2 linked regions of the Schizosaccharomyces pombe genome follow. The protein of the gene in region 1 interacts with the protein of each later gene in a biochemical or structural test. Each region holds a gene or a part of one and is shown in the gene's direction. Other genes may lie near its edges.

Evidence for each region. Proteins that work in one complex are often made in the same cells at the same time.
Region 2: of the proteins of pat1 (region 1) and mei3, one has a biochemical effect on the other in vitro, tested with the Schizosaccharomyces pombe proteins (one study listed by BioGRID).

What each region holds. Positions count from the first base shown.
Region 1 is NC_003423.3:1,680,671-1,685,492, forward strand, and holds pat1 (serine/threonine protein kinase Ran1/Pat1), read left to right. Parts: upstream 1-2,190; coding exon 2,191-3,603; 3' UTR 3,604-3,885; downstream 3,886-4,822. UniProt on the Schizosaccharomyces pombe protein: This protein is a negative regulator of both sexual conjugation and meiosis. It phosphorylates mei2. It blocks the onset of meiosis until conjugation takes place.
Region 2 is NC_003423.3:717,798-721,490, forward strand, and holds mei3 (protein Mei3), read left to right. Parts: upstream 1-1,921; 5' UTR 1,922-2,008; coding exon 2,009-2,455; 3' UTR 2,456-3,193; downstream 3,194-3,693. Other genes in the region: cmt1 (catechol O-methyltransferase 1), read left to right, coding at 169-969; lsb1 (SH3 domain-containing protein), read right to left, coding at 3,656-3,693. UniProt on the Schizosaccharomyces pombe protein: Acts as a critical meiotic inducer by binding non-covalently to protein kinase ran1/pat1 inhibiting its enzymatic activity. Inhibits ran1/pat1 by acting as a pseudosubstrate for ran1/pat1 instead of its natural substrate ste11.

The sequences.
Region 1 (4,822 bases):
TGTTCTACCTCAAACCTCACGCCTTCCCCTACTAACGAATTCGTAGCTAGCTACACTTCCGCACTACTTATTTGTGTTGCACCTCCATACACCTCATAATCAAAACTGCTAATTACAGCAACTTGGCCACGTAGCGACAACGTGCAATATATTAGAAGGTTGGATCCTTTCTCCATTTTACGATTCATCCAAATTCAATTCATATTACTAATTTTGCTCAGTCAATAAAGAGTTACTGAATTGCATTTTCTTTTCCTTTTCTTTTCGTCTCTTCTCTTGAAGAACCGTTGCCTTCTTCCCGATCATCATATTCCAGATCTTTTCGCCTGGACTTTGCTTTGCTTTCCTTTTTTTTTTACTCTACTTTCACAATTCACGTTCCCTTCCCCATTTGCATTCTCGCTGCTATCAACAATTCATCTCTGCACTTGCTCCTTTCTTCTTGGCAAGCTAGAAAAGCGTTCTTGCTTGCTGGATCCTGTGGGTGATTAACCACAATTCCAGAATTTCGATTTCAGCTTTCATATCCCCTGGTCATTAACGCGATTACTCTTACTCAGGTTGTTCGGCTGTCTACTGTGTTAAAGCAATAAAGAAAACACTACTTTTATCTGATTAGAAATCGAACCAAAATTAAAAAATTTATCTTTTATTCATTCTACACAAGTTTGGATTGTATTCTTATTTTTTTTATTTTATTTTTTTTTTAATTAAAAACTTCGAAATTCTATAAACAAACGTTGAATTGTCGAATTTGGATTTTATTTTTTCTTTAACCACCATTTTTTATTCTTACTAATATCCTCCCTTCCACCATCCTCGTTTTCTTTTACATTTGTTTTCCCTTCTTCCTCTTGGATTCTTATCATCTCCCGTGTCTAAAAGTTTCCATCTTACTCGTTTTTCTAACAAAGAAATCACTATTTCTCATCGCGACGAGCATTAGTCATATTTGAGTCGCGTTTCCTTTTCCTCTTTTTTAATTTATTATTTTTTTTTTGTTTTATTTATTTATTCTTTTTCACTTTCGTCTTTGGTTCTTGTTCGCGTCTGCTTTTCCTTTCTTTGTTCTTTCCCCTAGCCTCTTCGATTAGAGATAGATACTTCTTTCCATATCCAAACTTACTACTTCTCTGCTTTTCCCCAATGTAAATGGGAATTACCCTGAACGATTTCTTGTAAATTCCTTTGTGCTTGATGAAAATACTTTTCAAGAATTCTCTTCTCTCGGCTTTTCTTAATTACTCGATTTTTTCATTTTACATTCACAAATCCATATTGCTGTGCATACTTATTGACATTAGGTGAACTCATCTCTTTTTTCCCCAGTCCAACTCTTCCACCTAAGTCTATTGACTTACTCGCAAGCGTTGATTGTCGATTGTGTTTCCTTCTCATCCCCTCTCTTCTTTTTAAACCGAACATTCTATTCTCATTTTTACCTCAATTTGGAAAGGATATACTACTAGGTAAAAATTAATTCTACTTTTCTCCCCCATCTTTAACCGACTACTGACCTGTACATTTTCCCGATTTCTCTTACTGTTCCTTTGGAAAATCGTTGTGTGTCTTGTTTGTACGTTGATCTTTAGAGTTTCCTTTGATTATCTTGAGCATTCTTACTTTTTATTCCCTGCTTAAAATACTAATCATCATTTTTCCCGGTTTTTTATTCACATTCCCTTCTCACTTCCATTCGTTGTACTCAAAAGGACCTGTGCTTTTTAATCATAAACATTATATATTATTCGTTTTAACTCTTCCTTCCACAATTGCATTTCCCCTTTTCTTTATTAATTTTGTTTCTTGCATGTTGGTCGTTTTCTCTGTGATTGGCGTATTCGATTCTCTTTTTCATTCTTCGTTGTCGTATTTTTTACCTGCTTACAATTGAAAAAAAAATTTTTTTCTTGTAAATTCCCTTATATTATTAAACCTCAAACGATCAAGATAAAACCTATCATTGTGTTATTGACTATTTTCCTGTTTATAACGATCTTTGTTTTTTTTATCATTGATTTTAGAAGACATTAGAAAATCTAACCTTTCTCAAAGTTTTTTTTTTGTTTCGGTTGCAAAGTTCTTTAAGCTATTCAAAACTTTATCATCCGAAATACTTATTTTCTATTTTCTTATCTAATTTTCGCCATCAATTGGGACTTTATTTAATTTATCTTTACTAAACATTAGATGATGCGCGAAAATCCAGAACTCCTTTTGGGTCAGGTCTTGGGTGATTCTTTACGATTTGTTTCTATCATCGGTGCCGGTGCTTATGGTGTCGTGTACAAAGCAGAAGACATTTACGACGGTACCTTGTATGCAGTAAAGGCTTTATGTAAGGATGGCTTAAATGAAAAGCAGAAGAAGTTACAAGCTCGCGAACTTGCCTTACATGCTCGTGTTTCTTCACATCCTTATATTATTACATTGCACCGCGTGTTAGAAACGGAAGACGCCATTTATGTCGTTCTCCAGTATTGTCCGAATGGCGACCTTTTTACTTACATCACGGAGAAAAAGGTATATCAAGGGAATAGTCATTTAATTAAAACCGTTTTTTTACAGCTTATTTCTGCTGTTGAACATTGTCACTCAGTTGGCATATATCATCGAGATCTTAAACCCGAAAACATTATGGTTGGAAATGATGTAAACACCGTATACTTAGCTGATTTTGGTCTGGCTACTACAGAACCCTATTCAAGTGACTTTGGATGTGGTAGTCTGTTTTACATGTCTCCAGAATGTCAACGGGAGGTGAAAAAACTTAGTTCGCTGTCAGATATGCTACCGGTAACTCCTGAACCTATAGAATCACAATCATCCAGCTTTGCTACAGCGCCAAATGACGTCTGGGCTCTGGGAATTATATTAATTAATCTGTGTTGTAAGAGGAACCCTTGGAAGCGTGCATGTTCTCAAACTGATGGTACTTACCGTTCCTACGTTCACAATCCATCAACCCTTTTATCCATTTTACCCATCAGTAGAGAGCTCAATTCTCTACTCAATCGAATTTTTGATAGGAATCCCAAAACCCGAATCACATTACCCGAACTTTCCACGCTAGTATCAAACTGTAAGAACCTTACACGACGTTTACGACCTGCTCCCCTTGTTTCATCTCGTTATCTCGCATACCAACAACAACAACAACAGCAACAAATGAATTTGCAACAAGGAATTCAAGGTTACCCTCATCAAGGCTATATGCCGACTCAAAACATTGGCTTTCCCTGGCCTCCGACTCCCCAGTTTGTAAGTAATTGGAATCATTGTGCTACTCCAACGATCCCTGTCTCCTTACAAGTCCTTACACCAAATTCTTCACTTAAAGTAGATCCGACTACACCTCTTACAGCACCTATTCATGCAACCGAATCATTCTGGCCTTCTGCCGCAGCGGCGGCAGCAGCTGTCCATAACAATGCTAACTCATATATGCCTATTACACCCACACCCTATCCGAATAATGCAAAAATTTTCGGTTATCCTAATCAACCTCCGCTGACTCCCATACCTTTTACTGGATTCGTTTTGCATCCTGCACCAGTTGGTCGTGCTGCTGATGCCGTAGATCCATCTCGAAAATCGCTCTAAAGTTACTTGCTTCTTTTTTATATTCGCTACCGCACGTTGTTTTGTTCAGGGTTACTGCAAAACATTATAGAGGGCTTTGACTGCCCCAATAATTATTTCTCGGGATTTGAATTTTAACATTGTGTAAATAGCTAACATTTTATGCACTTGTTTTATACTTATATTTCTTCTTTTTTATATGTTTATTATGATGGTAGCATTATCTTTTTCTGTTAACAACATTGATGAATTTTTTTTGCTTGTGGTTTGTTCTTTAAAACAAAAATTTTTTTATAAATATATACTTAAAAAAAAAAAAAAGAAAAGGTAGACGAATGGATCGTTTTAACGACGGTTGTAATAGTAAATTTAAAGAGTTTAGAGCATGAAGCATGCAGTCATATTGTATCACCGCTATACTCGAAATGTTGAAGAGATAAAGCAAACTAAGCTTTTGGAATACGAAGATAGAAGGATATTATTCATAACTTGTAATAATATTGTTAAAAGTTAAAATATTAAATTAAATTTATAGATATCTTCTTGTAAATTCTAATATTACAATATTTTTACTGATATTTTTAAGCAATTATTATATCAAATATCGTTGTGTATATAGAATATTTTTTGGACAATATTTTCAAAAATAAAGATATTGTTAAGTTAAGTAAAGATATATTTTAGTAAAGGATGATAGAGAAAGAAATTAGAAAACTAGGTTTGAAGATGCAATTAAATTATAGCAATAATACAATTATAAGTTTCCTGTAAGGGGACAAATTTTACTAAACTTTGTTATTTATTATCTTTACACGAATTTCCACTGAATGTAAAGTGTATGTAGTAAACATTGTAACAAAATTCATAAATTTATATGTATATAGTTTTTTACTTTAGGTTGCATTAATAGATGATACAGTTTTTCTGTTTTAGATAACGCTATATTTTAAAAAACCAATGCTTCTAAAATTCGTTAAGCTTAGATAGGCATAGGAAAGTTGAACTAGGTCGAGAATTTTATTAGGCTGTACACAGAGGTTATCTGTGTGTTTTGTTAATAGAGTTTAACCGTTTTGGAAGCTAATTTACAAATACCGTAATGATTCTTGCAGTACACAAAAATGGCGTTTTTTTGATAGTATAAAATTTTTGGCAGTGTTTTTTACTCTAATAGGGCGTGAAGGTGCGAGTAAACAAAGAAGTGGAAAGGAAGGTCGGGACTGTAACTCACGCGAAAGAG
Region 2 (3,693 bases), 960 kb from region 1:
ATGTCCTATGATACGGTGGGTAGTTTGTAAAGATGCGTGGCGTAGTGACAACATACGAGGTGCATCGAATTCAGCAACATTCCATCCCTCGTAACTATATAAAGTGCATGGTATTGCGTATGCAGAGCTGAAAATCAACTTTTAACCAACCTTTCGAAATTTGAAATCATGCCTCATATGGAAGACAACGGTAGTGAAAAGGAACAGCTGTTTCTGCAACACATTCAAAATCTGCCTCAAGAGCGCTTGGATGCGATTCGCGGGCATCCTGAGTTGGTTCTTAAGGAAATCGATGAATTCACGTATCCAGACGGATCTGGAGTGAGAATGTGTATAGGAGATGTTAAAGGTGGATTTATCGTTGGGAAAATTCGTGAACGGAAGCCGAAAATCATGGTTGAGTTAGGCGGCTATTTGGGCTACTCAGCTATTTTGTTTGGAAATGAAATCTCCAAAATTCCTGGTGGTCGTTATTACAGCTTGGAAGTGAATGAGGATTATGCCAAGATTGCTTACGAGTTGGTTAAGTTGGCCGGTCTGGATGAAATAGTCACCATCATGATTGGCAAGGCTTGCGACAGTTTGGTCGAACTGCAACAGAAATTATTGCATAAAGACCTTGGTTTTCAAGCTTTGGACATGGTATTTATCGACCACTGGAAGGACCTTTATGTGCCTGACTTGAGGGTTATTGAATCACTTAATATGATTGCTCCGGGAACCCTTCTAGTGGCCGATAATATTATAACACCTGGTGCTCCTGAATATCATAAATATGTTAATATGAGTCCTGAAGAACGTAGAGGATATCAAGCCAAGGTTCGCAATGTCAATGGATTCGATTTCATCGGCAGATGGGATTTGATATATAAGACTGAAACTAAAGAATTTGAGGGTGTCATTCGCAATAAACACCGCAAAGACGCTGTCGACGTTACGGAGTGTGTTGGCTATGCTAAAAAAGATTAGGTACCAAAGGCATTCCCTAATCTTTTTATAATTGACTTTATGTGGTATCTGATACCTTTTACGATCTTTTGAAGCCCAGTTTATACAGCATACAATCGTGTCTGGGATCCCATTCTTTGCTCGTCCAGATATTGTTTGCTAATGTTATAAATTATAGTTGACAATGAATTGATTTCTCTTTTAATCCCGTTGCTTGATTCTAAAAACGATGTGTAAAATGTCAAGTATAGTATAGTAATTTAAGTTTCCTGTTCACTATTACATTTGGAATGTGCCCATTCTGTTAGATGAACGCATGATCGTCAATAGAGAAGTACTAAAGAAATCGTTAACTTGCATACTATAAATGTGCACTGCTAATTACTCTACTCGCAAATACGAAGAACACCTAGCTGGATATATCTACCTTTCATGCAATGATTGAGCGAGCACGAAAGCAAAGTGGTAAGCTTGCATTGTGGAATGTAGCAATCTCTAAAAACACATTACTGTAATACTGTTTTTTGCGTTATTCAATTCAATGTTGTTTAGCCTGAGTTATTTTTTAAGGAAATCTAACGAATGATATCGAAACTTAACACGAGTTTGATTTGTTTACGCTGCTCTCTAAATGAAAAGCGTGTCGCGCCGCGTAGCATGCCACTTCGCAAGCATTAAAAGCTGGAAATGAAGAGTAGAAAATATAATAGTAGTAGTTCATTTGAAAACATAAAATATACTTGTTTCTTACTTCTCATTTGGTCTTTACTATCATTTTCTAAATTTTGCATTTTCACTTTCTGTACTGTGATTGTATACAAAAAAATAATCTTTTATTTGTTTAATAGTTTTTTTTGTTTCATTTGCAAATATCAAATACTTTACACGAAATTGAAAAACCTCCGTGAGCCATGGGTTTGAAAGAAATGTGCTGCGTTAGTATAAGTATGAGTGCTTAGTCGCTCATTTCTGCATCCATTTTCTTATCCTCTTATTCTTTCTATTATCTAATTCACATCAAACTATATTCTACTTTTACAATCACTTTCTACTTCTAACAATGAGCTCTCAAAACACCTCCAACAGCCGTCACCCAGCAAGCAGCGCTTCTGCTTTACCAAATCGCACCAATACGGCAAGACGCTCAACTTCTCCCAGAACTAGTACTGGAAGCTCCAGTACTAACACTAACACCAAAACTGTTGACCATGCCGGTACCACTTTCATCAGCTCTACAAGCAAACGCGGCCGTTCTACCAAAGCTGGATCGGTACATAGCGTTCCCATGAAACGCACTAAACGTGTTCGCCGAACCCCTGCACAACGCATTGAACATGAAAATAAAGAAAATATTCAGACTGAAAAGGTTTATAGGATTAAGCCTGTCCAAAGAGTTCTTTCTCCCTCAGACCTCACTAACGAACTAACCATCCTGGACCTATTTCATGTTCCTCGACCTAACGAGACTTTTGACATCACCGACCGTGTAAACAACACCTCTCGCTAAGCAACTGCTTAAATTAGCTTAATTTTCTTCGATCCTGAATGACTAATGCCGAAGGGGAATATGAACACCACATAAAAATTGAAAGAAATTCTCTTTCGAGCATTAATTTTTATTAATTAAACCGCTGTTATAGGAAATTTTCATCCTAACTATACAGCTATTATATTTGAACTTGCATACTTATTTTCATGTTTTCCATTTTTACAACAAAAAAGAAAAAAAATTAAAACAAATTTAGTCCTTTCATTCATTCCCCAGTGCTTTCAGACGCTTTTTATAACAATTCTCCCTTGAGTTTCATTTCTGTTCATAGTCTCATTATTCTTTATTGTGTGTTGACTTCTTTTATTTTTAAACAAAGGTTCATTTTTATTGTCGTTCTCTTTTTTTTTTGAAATTCTGCTACTTTCTCTTGGAATCCCCATCAACGTGTTACCGAATTTGATTCATCATTATTCATACATCTTCCATTTTTGTTGGACATTCGCTGTCTCCAGTTTTTACTTTATCTTCCCATTTTAATAATGTGAGTCTTTACATTCATGGGATTTCCACGTCGATTCTTTTTTATTGCTTAATGGAAACGATTCTGACCGGACATCGTAATTAAATCTCTAACAAAGGCTACCTAATTTATACTTCCTCATCCGTTTACTATTTTTTGCTTTAATATACGTTAAGCAATAGAACAATTTACCATAGCATATTAACAAATCTAATACACTGTCATTCGTTCCCTATTAATCATATTTTTGCTTTGTAATTTATTTTTTTTATTATGGAATTAAAATATAAACGGTATGAAAGTCGTAAAAAGAAAAACACTAAAAATAAACAAAAGTCAAGAGACATGCGTATTTAATAGTACGCATCGATAATCATAAAGAATATGCAACAATGTTTGGATATCGAATTCATACACATAAATGAGGTGTCTCAATCTATGAAGAAGCAGCTATGCCGCGGTGTTGCTTTATAAGCATAAAGCATAGTCGAGAAAAAGACAAAAGACCAAAGGAGTAAACATGAACAAGGGAAATGCATTCGCGATATACGGAAATTTCTACTTGGAAATTTCAAAATAAAAAACAACTGCGCACCAACGATAACAAACACAGGTGCTAGTTCAACCACACAGAAAGTTTTACTTATATAAAGGAAGAAAAAAAGCATAGAAAAAGGAAAGAAACGAACTCGCATTTAAAAAATGGAATTGACGAGATCAGCGCCAGCAGTTG